Linked DNA regions of Arabidopsis thaliana. The protein of the gene in region 2 interacts with the protein of the main gene of each other region in a pairwise test. Each region holds a gene or a part of one and is shown on either strand. Other genes may lie near its edges. The genes, in order: ABC4, AT4G19370, AAP5 and AT1G21790.

The links.
Region 1: the proteins of AT4G19370 (region 2) and ABC4 interact in a two-hybrid assay, tested with the Arabidopsis thaliana proteins (one large-scale study listed by BioGRID).
Region 3: the proteins of AT4G19370 (region 2) and AAP5 interact in a two-hybrid assay, tested with the Arabidopsis thaliana proteins (one large-scale study listed by BioGRID).
Region 4: the proteins of AT4G19370 (region 2) and AT1G21790 interact in a two-hybrid assay, tested with the Arabidopsis thaliana proteins (one large-scale study listed by BioGRID).

The regions. Positions count from the first base shown.
Region 1 is NC_003070.9:22,323,897-22,329,136, forward strand, and holds ABC4 (UbiA prenyltransferase family protein), read right to left. Parts: upstream 3,464-5,240; 5' UTR 3,043-3,463; intron 2,874-3,042; 5' UTR 2,864-2,873; coding exon 2,774-2,863; intron 2,695-2,773; coding exon 2,470-2,694; intron 2,389-2,469; coding exon 2,285-2,388; intron 2,192-2,284; coding exon 2,120-2,191; intron 2,032-2,119; coding exon 1,893-2,031; intron 1,817-1,892; coding exon 1,710-1,816; intron 1,624-1,709; coding exon 1,524-1,623; intron 1,450-1,523; coding exon 1,411-1,449; intron 1,326-1,410; coding exon 1,215-1,325; intron 1,137-1,214; coding exon 1,071-1,136; intron 1,007-1,070; coding exon 911-1,006; 3' UTR 541-910; downstream 1-540. Other genes in the region: AT1G60610 (SBP (S-ribonuclease binding protein) family protein), read right to left, coding at 4,103-4,648, 4,725-5,092, 5,182-5,240. UniProt on the Arabidopsis thaliana protein: Involved in the synthesis of phylloquinone (vitamin K1). Catalyzes the transfer of a prenyl chain to 2-carboxy-1,4-naphthoquinone.
Region 2 is NC_003075.7:10,565,521-10,569,760, forward strand, and holds AT4G19370 (chitin synthase, putative (DUF1218)), read right to left. Parts: upstream 2,319-4,240; 5' UTR 2,016-2,318; coding exon 1,926-2,015; intron 1,858-1,925; coding exon 1,646-1,857; intron 1,095-1,645; coding exon 743-1,094; 3' UTR 548-742; downstream 1-547. Other genes in the region: AT4G19380 (Long-chain fatty alcohol dehydrogenase family protein), read right to left, coding at 2,907-4,240. UniProt on the Arabidopsis thaliana protein: Together with MWL1, contributes to secondary cell wall biology, specifically lignin biosynthesis.
Region 3 is NC_003070.9:16,763,855-16,769,537, reverse strand, and holds AAP5 (amino acid permease 5), read left to right. Parts: upstream 1-1,852; 5' UTR 1,853-2,314; coding exon 2,315-2,402; intron 2,403-2,818; coding exon 2,819-3,052; intron 3,053-3,099; exon of another isoform or gene 3,100-3,279; intron 3,280-3,353; coding exon 3,354-3,447; intron 3,448-3,688; coding exon 3,689-4,061; intron 4,062-4,233; coding exon 4,234-4,887; 3' UTR 4,888-5,146; downstream 5,147-5,683. UniProt on the Arabidopsis thaliana protein: Amino acid-proton symporter. Stereospecific transporter with a broad specificity for glutamate and both neutral and basic amino acids. Reduced affinities for asparagine and valine.
Region 4 is NC_003070.9:7,652,252-7,656,512, reverse strand, and holds AT1G21790 (TRAM, LAG1 and CLN8 (TLC) lipid-sensing domain containing protein), read right to left. Parts: upstream 2,426-4,261; 5' UTR 2,157-2,425; coding exon 1,898-2,156; intron 1,621-1,897; coding exon 1,343-1,620; intron 1,152-1,342; coding exon 822-1,151; 3' UTR 532-821; downstream 1-531. Other genes in the region: AT1G21780 (BTB/POZ domain-containing protein), read right to left, coding at 2,647-3,252, 3,344-3,459, 3,700-3,845, 3,925-4,037.

The DNA.
Region 1 (5,240 bases), on a different chromosome or scaffold from region 2:
AGTTAGAATAATTAGAAGATGACACATATATATATATATAAAACAACAATATATACATTTCGTTAAGATTTTTAATGTTTTATATTAGTACTATATAAGTAATATTGAGATCCAAGTAATATATAATAATTTGTTGAGAAAATTAATAAAATGTAAAAAGCTTAAGAAAAATTACTAGCTTGTGGATTCTTTAGAGGATGTGAAAAGATTAGAATGAACTAGGCTTCTCGGCCATGAAGGTAATTCATAAAGCAACAACAGATCACGAGGAATCAAATTGCAATCAACAATGTCCACAATCTTCAACTTGGTCAATACCGTCAACTCATTACCATCAAAGTTATTAGAGCACACATAAAGCCTAATATATTATCATTTGAGCAGCCCATCTAAACCCGCTAATGATTTTGCTATAAAACCTAATAACATAGGCTGAATAGGCTTCTCAAATGATAATATTTTGGGGTTTTATGTGTTCTCTAATATAAATCTGGATCTCACCTTCTAATGATTTTCTTAAATGCACATGGGATCCAACTTCAGTGGTTTGGGATGGATTCAAGAATTGGAGAAAGGTCCATATCGAGAAACAATTATGTCCTACAAACACAAGCATAACCTCTTTGTTGGGCCATCTTGTGTGTTGGAAATCTGAATTACCTAACACAAACGCCGTCAACGGGCTTGCACTAAATCCGACATGGCCCATGTTTCAACATATCCATGGTGGCACCCGTCACTTTAACAATTGAGGATACAATCGCTCACCATGCTTGTGATTAATTTGAGACCTTTCACAACTGTTGTAAGTTCGAATGTTTCCTTTTAGCTACAGCATACTGTAGTGGCTAAACGTTTAGGTAGATACAACGAAGGCTAAAGAGAGAAACAAATGTTTGGTGACTGATTTCTAGCGCGCGATAACTAGCCCCAACGACAATGCGGCTCCAAGCAAGGCGTGGAGTCTCACACAGTAATACTTGGCCATGAATATCTTCCCATTATCCTGCATTAAAAGAATAGATTAGCAAAACTTTGAGTATTACAAATTTCAATTCTAAATATCTTACCTTGTGGTGCTTTTCAACGTAGCTTGAAACCAAATTCCCAACTGGTAATGTCAGGAAGCACATCAACTGAAACACCAACAACAAAAAGGAGGTTTTAATATATGTTCTTATATTTCAGTCATGTTCTCAAATCTGTTAACTTACGGTGCAAGGTAGTGGCAAAATCCTGGTTAAACCAAGAACAAGAAGCATTGAATATAGTAAACGAATAGTCCATCTCACAACAAAAGCTCCTTTTTCAGTCCCTAACCGAACCTGTGTCAACCAAAAAAAAACTCTAATCATAAACACAATCACCATATTCATATTAAACCTTGTTGAGTTTTTTTCACATTTGTACCAGAGGTGAATATTTCCCCACAGCTAAATCTCCATCCACCTATAGAATGTAAATGTAGTCAGTACTGTGTTTGTCATTTCAGGACTCATTAGACCACTTTTTCATTAACCAACCTGATGAAAGTGGCTGCAGAAAAGGATAAGAGATGTAGTAAAACCAACAAGGACAGATGATGAAAGGACCCTACCGCTTAGCGGAAGATGCCTCATCTCGCTGCCAAAACCGATTAACAAGCTTCCATTATTAACACCTCATGGAAACACGAATGGATTAGGCTTAAAACAAAATTTTGATATTACCTTGAGCTACCAAGAAGTAGATAAAAAGCAGTAGTAGCAAATGGACCAAATGCTGCAAAGCATAGAGGCTCTCCTAATCCTTGGTAACTTAACCGAAATGGCGGACACTAGTCACAAAGTATTACTCTAAGTTAGAAATCTCCTAGATTAGTATCAAATTGTCATCTAGGAAGTAACGTTCACCTGGTATACGTAGCCACAGAGTATTGCTGAGGCTAGCAATAGTATTGCACGGATATTACTTGCATTTAACGATGTCCAAACTAGACCAGAAACACCAAGCGCTAGCGATGTGATTGCAGCGGCTAAGGTTCCTGTCCGGCTTTTCCAAGTAAAACACAGTTTATTAGGATGGAACTCAAAAACATAAACTTCAAAGTTGCAAACTCTATCCTTTGATAATACTTTACCTTCCAACCAGATTTACTACTGATTCCATTTTGTTCTTATCAGCTCCGGTATCAAAATCATAAACATCATTGCTGCAAACATAAAACCATGTTTGGAAAGAGTAAATACATGAAAGAGTAAATACAGTCAACGAAAATGTTAAAAGGAATCAATCAATTAATCACCTTAGGTTGAGCCAAGTAATGATAAGAATTGATGAGAGCAATAGAGTAACATAACGTCTAGCTAAGAACAAACCCGTCTCTAAATAGGCCGCTGAAGCGCCAACCTGTGTGACATTTGAACAGTGAATATTCCCTAGCAGATAAAGGCAATGGAGGACATAGAAAGGTTTCTTGAGGAAACATACGGTAAGAGGAACTAAAGCGACAGAGTACATTGGTAGTTTGATTGCTCTCCATATCAATTTTGCTCTGGGAATCTCCTCTTCTTGGTAAACCTTTGCTGCATCTCCATAACTCTTACAAAAGATTGGCCTAACTCTAAGGTTTCTTCTTGGTTTAGCATTCAGATTCTCTCGTGCATTCGAACCAAACACCGGTAATCTAGTGATTACATCTCCTCTGCTGGGAAGCTAAGCTAAGTAATTTTAGTGACAGTACAAAGTAGATTATTGTCAAAGAACAAAGCTTTGGATGAAGTGCTAAGCCTACCTTGTGAATTTTCCGTTTCACAAACAAATCAGTTGAATTTTTGGGCACAAACCCATACTTTATGTCACAGAGAGAAACAAAATTCACCATTTTCAGGTTTCTGCATAAAACAAAAGAAAGAATTTCAGTTAACAGAGGAAGAACACTACTTCCGAGTTAAAGTCCGAGATTCTGGAACCCTATAACTAAAATCTTTGTTCTGGCATGAATCAGAGACAATGGAAAATGAGTAAGATGAAGTAAAAAAAGTATGAAGTTTGGAACTTTACCTTTTTTAACACGAATCTTTCGAAGAGAGTTAGCGACGGAAGTGGAGTCAGATCAAAACCACGACGTGATCATAACAAAATTCACTTGAGGAAAAATATTTCAACTTGGCTCGTCTACAACGAGATTTTCATGAACCCACGAATCTGGAATCTTAATTTGGAGAAGATAACGCACACAGAAGTACAGAACAAACTCATTGAACCTTATACAAAAACTGAGAGAAAAGTGCCCGAATTATGCCAATAAACAGGCAAAATTGAGTGACCAGAATCAGAATCAGAGGATTTGTGAAGGAATCTATGCAATGCAAATGTTGGGATTTCGTTATTCAGACAAGAATTTGAATGTTGGGTTTTGCGGAAGAGACGTGAATGATGAAGTGGATAACAGAAGCTCCCTCGTTGGAAGATAAAATCACGTGAGGTTCACGTGTCTTTGACCAATTTTAAATACAAGTAGAAAGGTGGGCCTTTAAGGCCCATTACTTTCGAGCCTTTGAGGGTTTGGTTGGTACAAACTACTACAAGTAAACTAGATTTGCATGATTTACAAATTAAACAATGTTGACATAATTTATAATTAAACCAAATTAATATTAATGCCAAAAATTAATATTCAGATGGGGAAATTAACTGCGTCTTTTTTATTTTTGCAAACGTAATATGATGTATATTAATATCAACTTTATTAGTATTTTTCTAACGGAAATATTGATCAAAATCCTTTACATTAAAAAAATATTGTTTTAGTACATAAATAACCTTACTTGGGAAACAAGTTTTGCAGCAAAAATATTAAGAAGAAAAAAATCAGCCAAAACAAGTTTAATAATTTCTTCTAACAATGTAATCCACAGCTTGACATATCGCACACGACACGGAACTCAATTATTATCTCGTGTTCAAAGAACGGCTGCTTAATAACTACGAAATAGCAGAATCATGCTATATAGGTTTAATGGCAAAAGCAAAGAAAGACTCGACCAAGTTTTCATTCATCACCACCATCACATACAAATATGTTCATCCACCATTTACTTTTCAAGAGTATGAAGACAACTCAGAAGAAGAAGACCTGAACGCTAGAAGTTTTCAAAGACTGGCAAACAGGACAAACACCAGTAAACACATCACAATCTTTACACAAACTCAAGTGCCTACATGGCACGAGCAAGACCGAAACATTCTTTACGTTACACAACTTACATCTCATCCCAGTACTTGGCATCCCCGGGATGTTCAAGTAATTGTAAGAAGCTGCTTCGTCATCAATCTCACTATCCCCAAACCCTTCTTTCATTTGATGATGATCAGCAACTCCTCCTCCTACTGCATTGTTGTCGTTTCCATGTGACATCACTTGTTGCAAATTTACCTTTAAGGCATTAACCACAGATTCATTGTATTTTGCTTTGTAATGCCAGTTCTGAGCTTCCACTGCCACTTGTTTTATCTTATCCACGAGTTCCCGGTTCTTCTTGTTCATGCTTTCAATCTCATGGTCTTTCTCTTGAAGCTTCTTACTCACATCCTTCTCTAAGGCCGTGACAAAGGACGTGACATGTCTCTGTTTAATATCTCTCACACCTTTCGCCATTTGATCTGCCTGTTCCAAGAGAGAACAATTTCAACGACATGGGATATGTAAGCAAAAACATACGCTTTGTAGATAAAATTAATACCCGGAATTTGATAAACTGATCAAGCTCGTCGTTCTGTCTATTGAGGTCCAATCTGATATTGTCACCGAGTGACTGATAGACTGGAGTTGTTATGCTTCCATTTGCTGAAGTTACAGAAGAGTTGCGCTCATCATCATCATAAGATAGTCTCAGACCAGTTGACACTAAGTTCTGCTTTGGGACTTCATCTTGAACAACAGTATTATTGTTGTTGTAGTTATAATTCAAAGAGATCTGCAGCTTCTGCTGTCTCTGCATAATATTGTTGTTTTCAGTTTCCCTTCCGCGTGTGCTATTAAGCCGCATCATAGGAGCAAGGTTATCATTAGCAAAGTAGTTTACAGGATCAATAGTACAACCAGCTCTCACTGCAACCACATACAAAGGAACAAGCTTTTAGCTCTATAAAGTTCTAACAACATTCAAACCAAATGAATAACAAAATTCAGAAACTTACTCGTCCCAAGCAAGTGAAGCTGATTCAACGATGTGTTTGATTGATACCGAAACTGGCTG
Region 2 (4,240 bases):
ATATCTTCATATTTCAGGTATTTGGAAATTACATACAAATGAGACTTCAATTACAACTACCACCAACATATTTCTGTAGTGGATACTATATGCCTTACTGACCTGTGAATCTCTGCTTTTGGGGTTTAAACATTTGTTTTGAGTCGATATCTTTTGTGGCACATATCATTAAGAATCATGTGTCTTTTGGTATCATGAACTTACCTTTTTTATTTAGGATTTTTGAAAGAATGTTGTTTCTTTCTTTTTTTCTTTTCTATTTGTTACAACCACTGATAAGTTAAATCTTCCAACATATGTAACAGTCTTTACTGTTTTTCTAGTTCCATGTTTAATTCTTCTCTATTCCCTTTGAGTTTTGACTTAAATGGGTCAAGTATAGTTGACTTGGTAAGTCTTGGGTGTCTGCATCTCCCACACGTGTGAAAGTACTATTCTCTTATTCATGTTGTAATAAGTTATAATCTTAGATTGATCAGAGTTATGTAGACCACTAGTTGAGGCTTGTAACTGGGAACGAATCTTCCTAATTGCCAGTCAATTGAGATAAAGAAGAAAATAGCATAATGCATAATTATTATACACAAGTTGAAACTATCGCGACATTCTTTTAATTGGTATCCTAGGTGACCTTAAGTGGTTGATGGATGAATTAAATAAGTGCATTAACCAATTATATACATCTTTGTAAATAATAGCATATCCGATATTTCCCCTTTTACTTTTCGTTTTATATTTATTTTTATATTCTGCTTATATTAGTGGAAGACACTTCTTCCACCAAGTGAATGACACTTTCTGACTTGTTCGTTTGGTGCTCATCATGCTTTTGTTCTTCTTCCATTGATCTCCTTTGGTCTTGGTTTTGGTCTTTGATTACGACTTGCACAAGTTGTTGTTGTTTCTTTACTTTGATCCTGGTGGCTGAAATGGTCAAAGCTCCAAGTCCAAGGATGGCTAAGCAGCCTGAAGCTGCAAAGACACCGTCTTTGACCAAGTAACAATCTTCATCAAGCCATCCTTCTCCATACGCTTGAGCTCGACTCATGCTTATTGCGGTACTCAAAATCAATACCACTACCACAAAATTGGACCTGATCACATAGGTAAGGAAAAACAAGAACAGAGAATTATCAATATAGGAAACTAATCTCAAGAGATATTTTCTTTCTTATACTTTAGATGATACATCGCCTGATATGTTTAGAATCTTAGGGATGGGAAATATAACTCTCAACCTTAAAATCGAATCAAACCAAAACAAATTGATTAACCGAAACGATACCGAACTTTGCATTAGTGTCACCTAACAAACCAGTCCATATTTTCTTTAGATGTTATATTTTTTTATTGCATAAACATAATATTGGTGAACTTCTTATATATTTATATTTCGGTTTTATTTTTTCAACTACAGCCGAACCTAGTACAAAACAAAAACTAAACAGCCAAACCAAAATACAAATGGTTTTATAGGTTTAAGTTTTAGTAAAACCGGAAAACTAAACCGTAAACCGAATTACTCACTGATTCAAAATTACCCAATACAAAATTCAGTAAGATATATCGGTAGGTGGTTAAGGGGATTCTTGGTTACAGTTAGATGAGATTAAAAAAAAAAAAGAGAAGAGGAAAAATATTTTACCAGGACAGGAGCAATAGAACCGTAGGTAAAGTAAGATCAGTAATCTTGTAACCATCTTCTCTTTTAGTTCTTGTCCGGTGATTTCGGAACACAACTATGTTCCCAACGATCTGAGCAAGGCAGAAGCAAAGAACAGCGGCTGATCCAAGCCCGAACGCATGGCTTCCGGGTACATAGCAGTTCCTCTCTGTGTCCCATCGAATATCTTCTTTCTACACAAGTAAACTTTGGTTCGATTTGTCAATATAAAAAAACAAATTGAAGGAACTCGACGTCGTACCTGTGTTCTCTTGAACTCGGCTGCGAAACATGTGATGAAGGAAACGAGACCAAGAGAGAACACGACTGAGTAGAGAAAAAGGTTGTGCATAGTTTTTAGTGGACAAAATCAATCAGACGCACTTACATATATGTAATTCTGCAACATAAATGCTACACCTTAGATTATTTGAGTCAAATTCTCAGGGGGATTTATTTAATTATCTTTTAATAGGCTTGAGGAAAGTTCTTTAATCTACATAAGGATGGAAAATAAAGAGAGAGAATAAAATTCTTAATTATATCAAATGATAAAATTTCCAAAACCATTTTAAAGAAAATAGATGATGGCGTATACTTTTGATACAAGTACACAACACAAACTTAAAATTTTGGATATGTGACTATGTGAGGTAACTTCTCATAGAAATCTTCTTTGTCAACTAAATAATATGGAAATAAAAGAGAGGAGAATATTATCATACATTAAAATAAAATTTTTTTCCAAAACGATTAAAAGGAAATAGATGATTTGTGTTTACTAAAGACGAGGTCAAACGTAGATTGTTTGACTTACATACAAAGTGGCCTTAATAAAAAGAACAAAAGCATGATAATGGCATGGACTATAGAAGTTGAGTATAGATTAAGCCTTCCCAAGTTAAAGGCTTGAAACTTTTTGTATACATAATTTTTTGTTTGTTTTGTTTTAGAATTAAAATCTGAAATTTTAATATGATTTTTTATTTCATATCATATATTGCCTACTAGCTTAAGAAATATTATCCATTTTGCTCATCTTTATTTCTTATTTATCAAGCTGCTACTGCCTACCAGTGTTTACTAGTTATAGTTTACGAATAATTAAAAGAAAAGGAAATTTATTGCTAACTGATACTTTGACAAAGAACTTCTTAATATTAGTTTTATCAATTGTATAAAAAAAACATTTCATTTTAAAAAATATGTGGAAAACTAAAATCTATTTCAAACTGATGAACCCTCACTTCTTCTTCTTAAGAACATCAACAACATTAAGTCCAATACAATAAGCAATAGACTGAACGGTGACCATCGGATTAACCCCTAAAGCGGTCGGAAAAACACTTGTGTCCGCCACAAATAACCTTTCGACCTCCCAAGTCTCTCCTGTTGGCCTCACCGCGGATTCCTCCGGCCTAATTCCCATCCTACAACTTCCCATTTGGTGAGCTGAACATATCTGACCTGACAAATCCTTCAACGGCTTTGAACTCTCTTCTCTCACAAACCGCTCAATCTCTAACGAACTCGCTGTTCTAACATTCAGACTCCTACCTTCTGAATGATGCGTCCCAATCTCCTCGGCTCCGGCTGCGGCCAGAATCTTCAAGACTCTTTCAAGACCGTTCTTTAGACTCTCTTCGTCTTCATCGTTTAAGTTGTAGTCAATGTAGGTCTTGGAATCTATTGTTCCGGTTCCTTTATCTCTCAGAAGCGCAAAAATGTGTGCGGTTCTTGAAAATTTGAGCATTCGGGTTTTGAAATCCTTGCTTGATGTCCAGGGAATGATCCCTGAGAACATTCCTGGATGTAGAGCAGGTGTCTGGATAACCATTTCACCATAAGAACTATGCGTTTCTTCAATTACAACGCTAGACATCGCAGTCATTATTCCCCCCTCGTAGCTCTTTTTCTTCTTTTCCGGCCACTTATCTTCCTCTGGAAACCATCCCCAAGCCATAACAACCGGATGTAGACAAAGGTTTCTCCCAATGTTACTATTCTTCAAACCGCTACGTTTCAACAGATGCGGCGTTCTAAGCGCACCGCAAGCCACTATTGTCACTCTAGACTCCACCACATAAATCTCTTCCCCAAACGCAAACGCAACTCCAGTTGCCTTCTTCTTCTTCCCCTGTTCACAGTCGTACATGACTTCCGTCGCTTGACAACCTGGAAGGATTAAACCATTATCAGATTCCACCAAATCTACAAGCCAAGTCTCTGAAGTCCCCTGCTTTTGACCTTTCTTGCAACCCAAGCAACAAAACCCACAGTAATGATCGGATGGAGCATTCCTCGGAATATTCTTCACTGGTAACCCTAACTTTTCACAACCTTTTCTCAATACCTCATTATTAAACCCTTCTTCTACAAATCCGCATTGAACACCCATCCTCTTACAGACAACATCCATTGCCTCTCGATACAAATCACTTCCGAACATTTCGAGTTTTGACTTTTCTGCCCATTCCTTCATCACATGTTCTGGTGTCTTGATCGAGGCGGACCAATTGATTGTAGAACCACCTCCGACTGTGGATCCCGCAAGAATCACTACGTTCGTATCGGACG
Region 3 (5,683 bases), on a different chromosome or scaffold from region 2:
TTCAGATGAATTATTGGTTTTCCAACAACATCGTTCTGAAAAATCAAAATGTTTTCCAACTCAAATAATAGATTAGATGTTCCAATGATTATATTAAATTTCCTATTTTTTGGTAATTCATATATGCAGAAAACTTCGGAAAACCATTGCACAGCAATAAGCATTTAAAAAAAGTGAAACCCATTCTATCAATGTTATGTTGAAAAACTTCATCTAATTGAGGTGTATTTTGCATGTTCATACAAAAACTCCAAAAATAAAATTGAAAATAATCGAGAATATTTAACATTGTTATGTAACTTCAATTTGTGAGAATTTATCAACGAAAATAGAGTATATATAATATGACCAAACTCATAACAGGCAAACACCACTTTACATAGTTTCCACTTTCATTTCCTCAAACCAACCGAAAGTTTTTAGAAACATAGTAGATATAGACAAAGAAGTCCATGGTAAACGTTAATTATTTAAATAACTATTAAATAATAAATTAATAAAATATTTACTTTATCAATTTGTTTGTAATTATGGTTGAAAACTTGCCCATCAAAATTTTAAATATATTTTCTTTTTCAAAATAATATCTAATTGCCTATGATAAATGATTCTAAAATAGTAAAGTATACCACCAAATCGTTCATTTATACTCTTTAGAAATGATATAACGACAGTGTATTTTCCAACCGAATGGTCGGTGTTTCCAGTGTATTTGAAAGAATTTAAGAGCGAGAAAGAAAAATTTATTAGCATCTCTTTATTTTTAATTCCTCGGAATTGGTTCGTTTGAGTTTAATTAATTCCGGTTGACAAAAAAAAAACAAATGATATAAGGAATTTGAAAAGTTAAATCCTCCGTCAACTTTCTCTTGACATCAAAAGTACATATAACATAATAATCAATAATAATGAAAAAACAACTATATCTCTAATTATAATTACTTTAATTTACTCAAATACTCATTAAATTAAGGACATGAATCATTGTTTTTAAATTTTAAAATTAAAATATCTATATTTTAAAGGTAAAAATCTTAAAATTTGGTTTGATGTTTAGCTTTTATGGAATTTTTAAGAATTGAGATTAATCCTAGCAATTCTAGCAATGTTATGTTGAAAAACTTCATCTAATCGAGGTGTATTTTGCATGTTCATACAAAAACTCCACAAATAAAATGGAAAATAATCGAGAATATTTAACATTGTTTTGTAACTTCAATTTGTGAGAACCTATCAACCAAAAAAGAGTATATAATGTGACCAAACTCATAACATGCAAACACCACTATACATAGTTTCCACTTTCATTTCCTCAAAACCAACCGAAAGTTTTTAGAAATATACTAGATATAGACGAAAGAAGTCCATGGTAAACGTTAATTATTTAAATAACAAATTAATAAAATATATACTTTATCAATTTGTTTATAATTATGGTTGAACACATGCCCATGTTAAATATATTTTGTTTTTTTTGAGTAATGCCTATGATAAATGATTCTAAAATATTAATATAAGTATACCACCAAATCGTTCATTTACAAATGATATAACGAATTTCAAAAGTTAAATCTTCCTTCAACTTTCTCTTGACATCAAAAGTACATATAACATAATAATCAATAATAATAAAAACTACTATATCTCTAATTATATATTTTCTTAAATTACTTTGATTTACTCAAATACTCTTAAATTATAAGGACATGAATCATTGTTTCTAAAATTTAAAATTAAAATATCTATATTTTAAAGGTAAAAATCTTAAAATTTAGTTTGATTGTTTAGCTTATATGTAATTTATAAGATTTGACATTTTGCACTTGTTGTCACTAATGTATAACAATGAAACCATTTTCTCATAAAAAGATAAACTATTTTTGTAGTCCTCACAAAAAAAAAAAAAAAAGCACATGCGGTTTCCTCTGCTTCTTCCTTCTTACAAGTTGGATGTCTCCGTCTTCCACGGTGCTTATAAATTAGTGAAACAACAAAAGCTTTGGTCAGTATTTATATTATCATGCATTTCTAATCTCTACTTTGTCAATTCCTATACTTTCACTCTCTTCCAATTATATAATCTCTGGTCCATAGAAAACATCGGTCTCTTGTCACCGTTGATTTTATTTGGTCAAAATCATTCTTCTTCTCGCTGAATAATCGTTGATTTCACTTCTTCTTCTGGTCTTAAAAAAATTCAAGATCTATACGAGAAAACACAAAACAAGTAAAACTTTTTCAACCGTTTTTCCTGTCGGTAAAGTTTGGATTCTTCTTAGTAAATTTTGGTCTTATTGTCGACCAAAAGAAGAAGATGGTCGTTCAGAATGTTCAAGATTTGGATGTTCTTCCGAAACATAGCTCGGATTCATTCGATGATGATGGTCGTCCCAAGCGAACCGGTAATTTCTCTTTTTTTCTCTAATTTTATGTTTTATGTTTCTCTAATCTGTTCAAACAAGAATCAAAGTAAATATAAAATTAGTCTCTGTTTCCTATAACCGGGGATTTGAACCCGAAACCCGGAATTTTTTTAATTCCGGGTTTCGGGATACAAACCGAAACCCGGAGTCTGTTGAACTTGCAATTTAAAACATCTACAGTAAATATATGCATAGGCTTTGTTTGTTAAGGGGTGACAAATTCCTACTTCTTTTTTTGTGTGGATGTTATGGAAAAGTATGATTTTTGTTACTAAAGTGTATGAACACTATTGTTACTACAGTTGTTGTCTTAAAATTAACGGTTAAACAAAACAGACTTTATTGTTACTACAGTTCTTGTCTTAAAATTCTGTTTGAATGTGATTGGTGTTTAGGGACGGTGTGGACAGCAAGTGCACACATAATAACAGCAGTAATTGGGTCAGGAGTGTTGTCATTGGCATGGGCCGTTGCTCAGATTGGTTGGATTGGTGGTCCAGTGGCTATGTTACTCTTTTCTTTCGTTACTTTTTACACATCTACCCTTCTCTGTTCTTGTTACCGATCTGGTGACTCTGTTACCGGCAAAAGAAACTACACTTACATGGACGCTATTCACTCCAACCTCGGTAAACAAAAAAAAAATCATTTCGGTTTCTTTTTGGTGCATATATTGGGATATTGAACCGAAGATCGACGGTTGAGATGACAAGGCCAAGATATAACAAAAAGATATTATTCTAGAAGATAAATGTTAATATTGAAGTTTAGAAAGTTTAACATTTATCTTTTAGAATAATATTTTCTTGCCGTATCTTGGCCTTGTCATTTCAACCGTTGATCTCTGTCGATCTCTGGTTCTCCATATCGGTTCCATATCCCAATAGTTATTATCATCAAAAACTTAATTCATTCTTGATTCATTTTTAGGTGGGATTAAGGTGAAAGTATGTGGAGTTGTGCAATATGTTAATCTATTTGGTACAGCAATTGGATATACAATTGCATCAGCTATAAGTTTGGTGTAAGTTAAAACTTTGCTTTCACAAAACTCTTTTTATTTTAATTGTTCACATTTGTCCAAAAAAAGTTAGATGCGTGTTTTATTTTGCTATTCAATATTGTCCATACAAGTCATTAATGTTTGGCTCAATAATGCAGTGTTTTAGTCAATGTAGTCTTGTTTTGTGCCATTAAAGATTCGAAAGAACGGCTCTATTATTGTTTGACTTGTTAACTAATTTTCTTGAATAAAAAATTTACAGAGCAATCCAAAGGACAAGTTGCCAACAGATGAATGGACCAAATGATCCTTGTCATGTTAATGGAAATGTTTACATGATTGCGTTTGGTATTGTACAAATCATATTCTCTCAGATTCCTGATTTTGATCAGTTATGGTGGCTTTCCATTGTCGCTGCGGTCATGTCTTTTGCTTATTCTGCCATTGGACTTGGCCTTGGTGTCTCTAAAGTGGTAGAGAACAAAGAAATTAAAGGTAGTCTCACTGGAGTCACTGTTGGGACAGTGACACTGAGTGGGACAGTGACATCGTCGCAGAAAATATGGAGAACATTTCAGTCTCTTGGCAACATTGCGTTTGCGTACTCTTACTCGATGATTCTCATCGAAATTCAGGTATTTTTGTTACGCGAGTTTTTTTTTTTTTGAAAATAATGTTAAGTTAGATTCAAAAGAAAAATAACGTTGTTACAACTAGTGCATCGTTTGGTTTATTTGTTAAGCGAGTTTGTGTGATAAGAGTTTGTTTAAAGGATGTTTTAATCAACTAGACGATTTGATGATCCAGGACACGGTGAAATCACCGCCTGCCGAAGTAAACACGATGAGAAAAGCGACTTTTGTAAGTGTGGCAGTGACTACAGTCTTCTACATGCTATGTGGCTGTGTAGGGTATGCAGCATTTGGGGATAACGCACCCGGAAATCTCCTCGCTCATGGAGGGTTTAGAAACCCATATTGGTTGCTTGACATTGCTAATCTCGCTATAGTGATCCATCTAGTCGGTGCTTACCAAGTCTATTGCCAACCCCTCTTTGCCTTCGTCGAGAAGGAAGCCTCTAGGAGGTTTCCAGAGAGCGAATTCGTCACAAAAGAGATCAAGATCCAACTCTTCCCGGGGAAGCCCTTTAACTTGAATCTCTTCAGGCTCGTATGGAGGACGTTCTTCGTGATGACAACAACGTTGATCTCAATGTTAATGCCTTTCTTTAACGATGTAGTCGGTCTCTTGGGGGCCATTGGTTTTTGGCCTTTAACGGTTTATTTCCCAGTGGAAATGTACATTGCACAGAAGAATGTTCCGAGATGGGGCACAAAGTGGGTTTGTCTACAAGTCTTGAGTGTGACATGTCTTTTTGTGTCCGTAGCCGCGGCCGCGGGATCTGTTATTGGCATTGTTAGTGATCTCAAGGTCTACAAACCTTTCCAGTCTGAATTCTGAGATCATACGGGAAAAATAAACTCCTGCTAAAAGGGTTAAGATTAGAATTGAATGTTTTAATGTCATATTTGTATTAGTTAACTTTGTGTAAGTGTTCAATTATAAATCATGTTTCTACCGAGAATTCTTACAACATTGAACTATCAATGATTAAAAGTAGTCATGTATAAGGATAGCTTTTTCGACACTTGAGGTAGTAGAGATGTATTAAACATTTAATACTTATAATTAATTTTAGAAGTCTATAAACCAAAGGAGCTACAAGATGTTTTGTGTTTATCTCCAAAATTCTTCAAATTCTTAAATCGTTTATCTTCTTGTAAACACTCTCCAAAACTAAAGATCCCCTAGATAAAATTGAGCTAACAATGCCTAATGAAGCCATACAAATAAGATAATCAATGTTTACCTTGACAAAACAATAATTAAAATTTAACAAAAGCAAATCGAGAATAATGATATGACACTGAAAATATTCTGATCTTTCTTTTACAAAGCAATCGATGAATTCTCAGTTAGTTACACAATAAATAACATTAGTTACATTCAAAAGCTATACAATCAAATGAGTGAAAGTACTTAAGAATAATATCACATGCTTGGTGTCTTTTTGATACCTCAACTCTTTTGTTTTATATATACTCAAGAACTTTAATAATATAAAAAATAACTCAACCAATGATGATATAGTTTTAATTTCCTAAACTACAAGTGCAAAGCAATCAAAGTAGTATTAGGGTCGATCGGTAAAGAATTTAGAGTAACGCACACCAATGTCACATTTTGTTTTTACAAG
Region 4 (4,261 bases), on a different chromosome or scaffold from region 2:
CCATAATTTTCAGATTCTGACTTGTTAGTAGCAAAAAGATCACCCTTGTTTCTTTTGCTACATAGTGTAATCTTCTTAACGTTTATGTCTTGTGAGATTCATCTTTGTTATTTCACTGTCACCAGTTTGATGGTCTCATATGATGCATTGTCACCAAGTAAAATATTGATTTTTGTTTTGTTTGGTTAGATAAAGACAAAGAAAACTGCAATCTGTGGTGCTGCTGAACTGCTGATGTTGAATCTATTCATTGGTCGTGTCTAAAATACAATATTTTGGATTAGATTCTAAACTGGTACATGCAACAGAACAAGCACCTGAGGTTCTATGGTGTAGTGGTTAGCACTCTGGACTTTGAATCCAGCGACCTGGGTTCGACTCCCGGTAGGACCTCTCATGCTCTTGCATTTTTTTTTCTTCCAAACATTGGTGGAAACTGAACCGGACCAAACTTCATCAACTCAACACTAAACAAACTTTCCTAATAGATTGAAAAGATTATACCAAAATTTAACTGAATAAACCAAAGTTCATTAAGATTAACTTTTATATAATGATTATGATATATAAATCACAACCAAAGATCAAACCAAAATTCTAATTTGGTTCCGTTTCCCCAAACACAAGAAGAAAAAAAGTCTGTTGACTGTAATCATCAAGAAATAACATTTACATGTAGTTTTCCTATAGAGAGATACATACAAATCTGAAAGCTATTAGAACTTAGTAGCAAAGCCTCAGATATAAACAAGAGATGAGTGGGTAGTATTCATACAACAACAAACCATAGATTCGGTAATGGATTGCCTCTAAATTAGCTATTATTCTCCATGGTCGTGAAGGTTGCCGTTCTCTTGGTTTCTTCTGTGGCTTCTCTCTCTTCTGAAAGCATGAAACAGATCCAACCCGAGGCCAACATTAAGAATGTTCATTCCTGCCATACCAGACAGAGCGAGTGGTAACTCCACGCCTTTCCCAAACTTGTGTGCGTCTTTGATCAGCTTGATAGTGATGAGAATGTGAGGAATGCATCTCGCAAACACAAAGGCTGTCCAGTTTAATACCCACTCCAGTTTCACCAATGCTGTGTTGCTGTCTCGGATTCCTGCCATTCTCCTTAGCTTCCTCACGTGTAGAAAGATCGAATGCATCTGTTTACACATCCGAATAACAGAGGTGTCACTTTTGTTCGAACAAGTAGATGTTGTAGAGTTGAGTCTATATCTAACTAGATTGTTATATATGAAACTAGTCTAGTTTAACTAGAGAATGTTAGCATAGATTCGGTAAAGAACAGAGAAAAGCCAGGGCAAGTTTTCAGGAAGAAAAAAGTGGAACGTACCTCACAGATGAGAGTAAGAATAAGGTAGTTGATGGTTACATTTCGGTATAGTGCCAATGTGAAGCAAACAAGGAGGACTAGATGGTGAACAAGAATAGAAGGTATTAAGCCGCTGTATAACCGGTACTGAAGCATATCCCACTGGTCATATGCAAAGTAGCCGCATGAGAAACACAAAGCTGGATATGCCCATTTCCAAGTCCCACCAACCAACTCAGAATGATCAAACATCTCGTCTAAACCTTTGGCTAAGCATTGATTGAGAAGTATGAAAACCACTGTAGTAACACAAGAGCAGTGTTGAAGATGAAAAATCATAATCAGTAAGGCTTAACGAAGAAAGAACTGCATTATACTCAAGCTATGGCAATCAATCATAAGACTAATCCAATCGGAAATAAGAATCACATTAAGCAATGAAACCGTGAAAACACAGCACCAAAGGAAAATTGACTAATACCAACGACCAATGTGCACACCTATGATAAAATTTCCCCACTAACAGAGCACAATCCTATAGTAAGAACTCAAATATAAGAGAAGAGAGAAAGGGACCTGATGCGGAGGTGATGATTGAGTGCAAAAGCGAGACAGAGGTATTAACAAATATAGGGTCACGAGAAATCCATGAACGAACAACCCAATTCATCAATTGAAAGAAGCATCCACCGCAAATCACCCAGAGAAGCTCCGTCCGGAGATTGAAAGCAATCTCAAACACGACGGAGACAAGCCAAAGAAGCAGCGTCGCTAAGAAAAACTGCCCAGCCCCATTCTTCTTCCCTCCTGAACTCCCAATCCCGTTCCTCGCCATCGAAACCTCACTGTCTCTCTCGGAGATTGCTTGAGAATCCGGCAAAGTTAACCCTAAATTGGATTCTTAGCTCAAACTTCGATATCCATTTCCAATTTTGGCGGAAGAGACGATACAAATGCCTTCACGTTATAAGCTTTACTTTGGGACGCAACGGACACGTGTCGGTCGATACTTCATCCTCCTGATGCTGACTCATCTAATTAAAACAAAAAACGTACGATTTCAACATCGACAAAATTATCATATTTTGTGCCGACATTCGATGTCGACAGTCATTAGGCCTAGTCACAGCCCATTTGAAAGGCTCGGCCCATTTGAGAGGCTCGGTACACCAAACTAGAGGCAAATCCACTCAATACTATACATTAGACAGAGTGATACAACAAAATCCAGAGTTGTTGTTAGTTACACACACAGAAGAGAACAAGAAGACTATAAACAAAACACCATCAAGCTGAAATGTTCAAAGTATGTGTGTAAGTGTATATTAGACCGGTTTCCACACAGACAAAACCTCTTGAAACATCTCCAGCATCAGTTCTCGATCAGCTTGCCTGAAGAAACTGCTGATTTCTTCTCTGACATCATAAATCTTTCCGAAATCAAACAAATACATCAAACACCCTTTCTTCAGTTTCTCCAGCTGATAAAGCCAAGCTTCTTGTAGCCTCTCGAGCACATTACTCGAGTTTATATCTTCCATTAGGCTCTCCTCGCAGGCTGCTTTCAAATCCGTTATGTCGTACTTGTTTGCAGCGCCGAGGAGGGCGAGCCTGTGTTTCCAGAACTCTTCTTGGGTTATGTTTCCGTAGAGGTAACTTAGTAGAGCCATGCAAGATTCTCTCGACATGTCGTCTATGTGGATTGTGGATGATTCCTTTTCCATGAGGTCGTGGTGGAACATGCTTTTGAAAACAGTTGAGCTAGCTGAGAGGATAGCTTTGTGAGCAGAGAGTGTTCCATCGGCTGTGTGGATGATTACATCGGTTAGTATGCTTTCCTCTAGCATCCGGGATAAGCATTTGAGAGTGGTTTGAGTAGAGATTGATTGCATTGTTGCATCGGTTGGCCAAACAGGAGAAGCTTCACCACCCTGGATTATGATTTGATTTGATCAACCATGGAAGTACAAATGTTACAAAGAGAAGAAATTGTGAGAGTATAAATAGAATCATTAAGCTTACATTCACAGGGCAGATTTTGAGATCAAGAAACTCAACATCAATGGTGAATCGACCGTGGAAACTGGAGTCAACATGCCACACACAATCATCAGTTGTACGCAGCAGCTTCTCATAAACTGCACCAAATAAACAGAGTATCTCAGCTTAAACAAACCTAATTCAGTTGTAACCATCCCATAAGGTACTACTAATCATCAGCCAATCATTAACATCTAAATTAATATCTTTCAGATTCCACATAATTGAATATAGTTCCCACATAAAAGGTAATTCCCTTTCCTGAAATACCTAATTCGAGCTCGACAATAGAATTCAAATTCCAAATCCAGAAAAGTCAATTCAAAGACAAGACATACCAGGAGAGATGTAGAATCTACGATTGGGGCCAACGTTGGAGACACGAAGAACAAATTTGGCAACAGGAGGTTGCTCTTTAGATACTCGAGAAAGTTCTGGGAATAGCCTCACTGATAGATAGCGATTCCTCTCTATAGACAGATGCCTTCATCATATCCCAAAACAAACAAAAATCAAAATTCCGAAGAAAATTTACCAAAATAAACCAAAAATGAAAAGCTTACCAATTCCAAATTCCGACTTTGAAAGGATCGGACTTTTTGAAAGAACAAGGACCAAAATTTTCAATTCTCCATTGAGCTAACCTCGAGATTGTCTCTACCTTCGTGTCCCCCATCCACTTTCTCTCTGAAGTTTTGACTTCCTTTTCTCTCTGAACTCTTTACTTCACGCCAAATAACACGACGAAGCAAGCAAAACACTCTGCCGCCTCCATCGCCTGCCACGTGTACGACGATTATACGTTTTTATCCATTAAACCGGTTTACTAACGATATATTAAAATCAATTCTCGGTTTGAAATGAAAGAGAGTGGACTTAGACTTAGAGAGATAACAGATA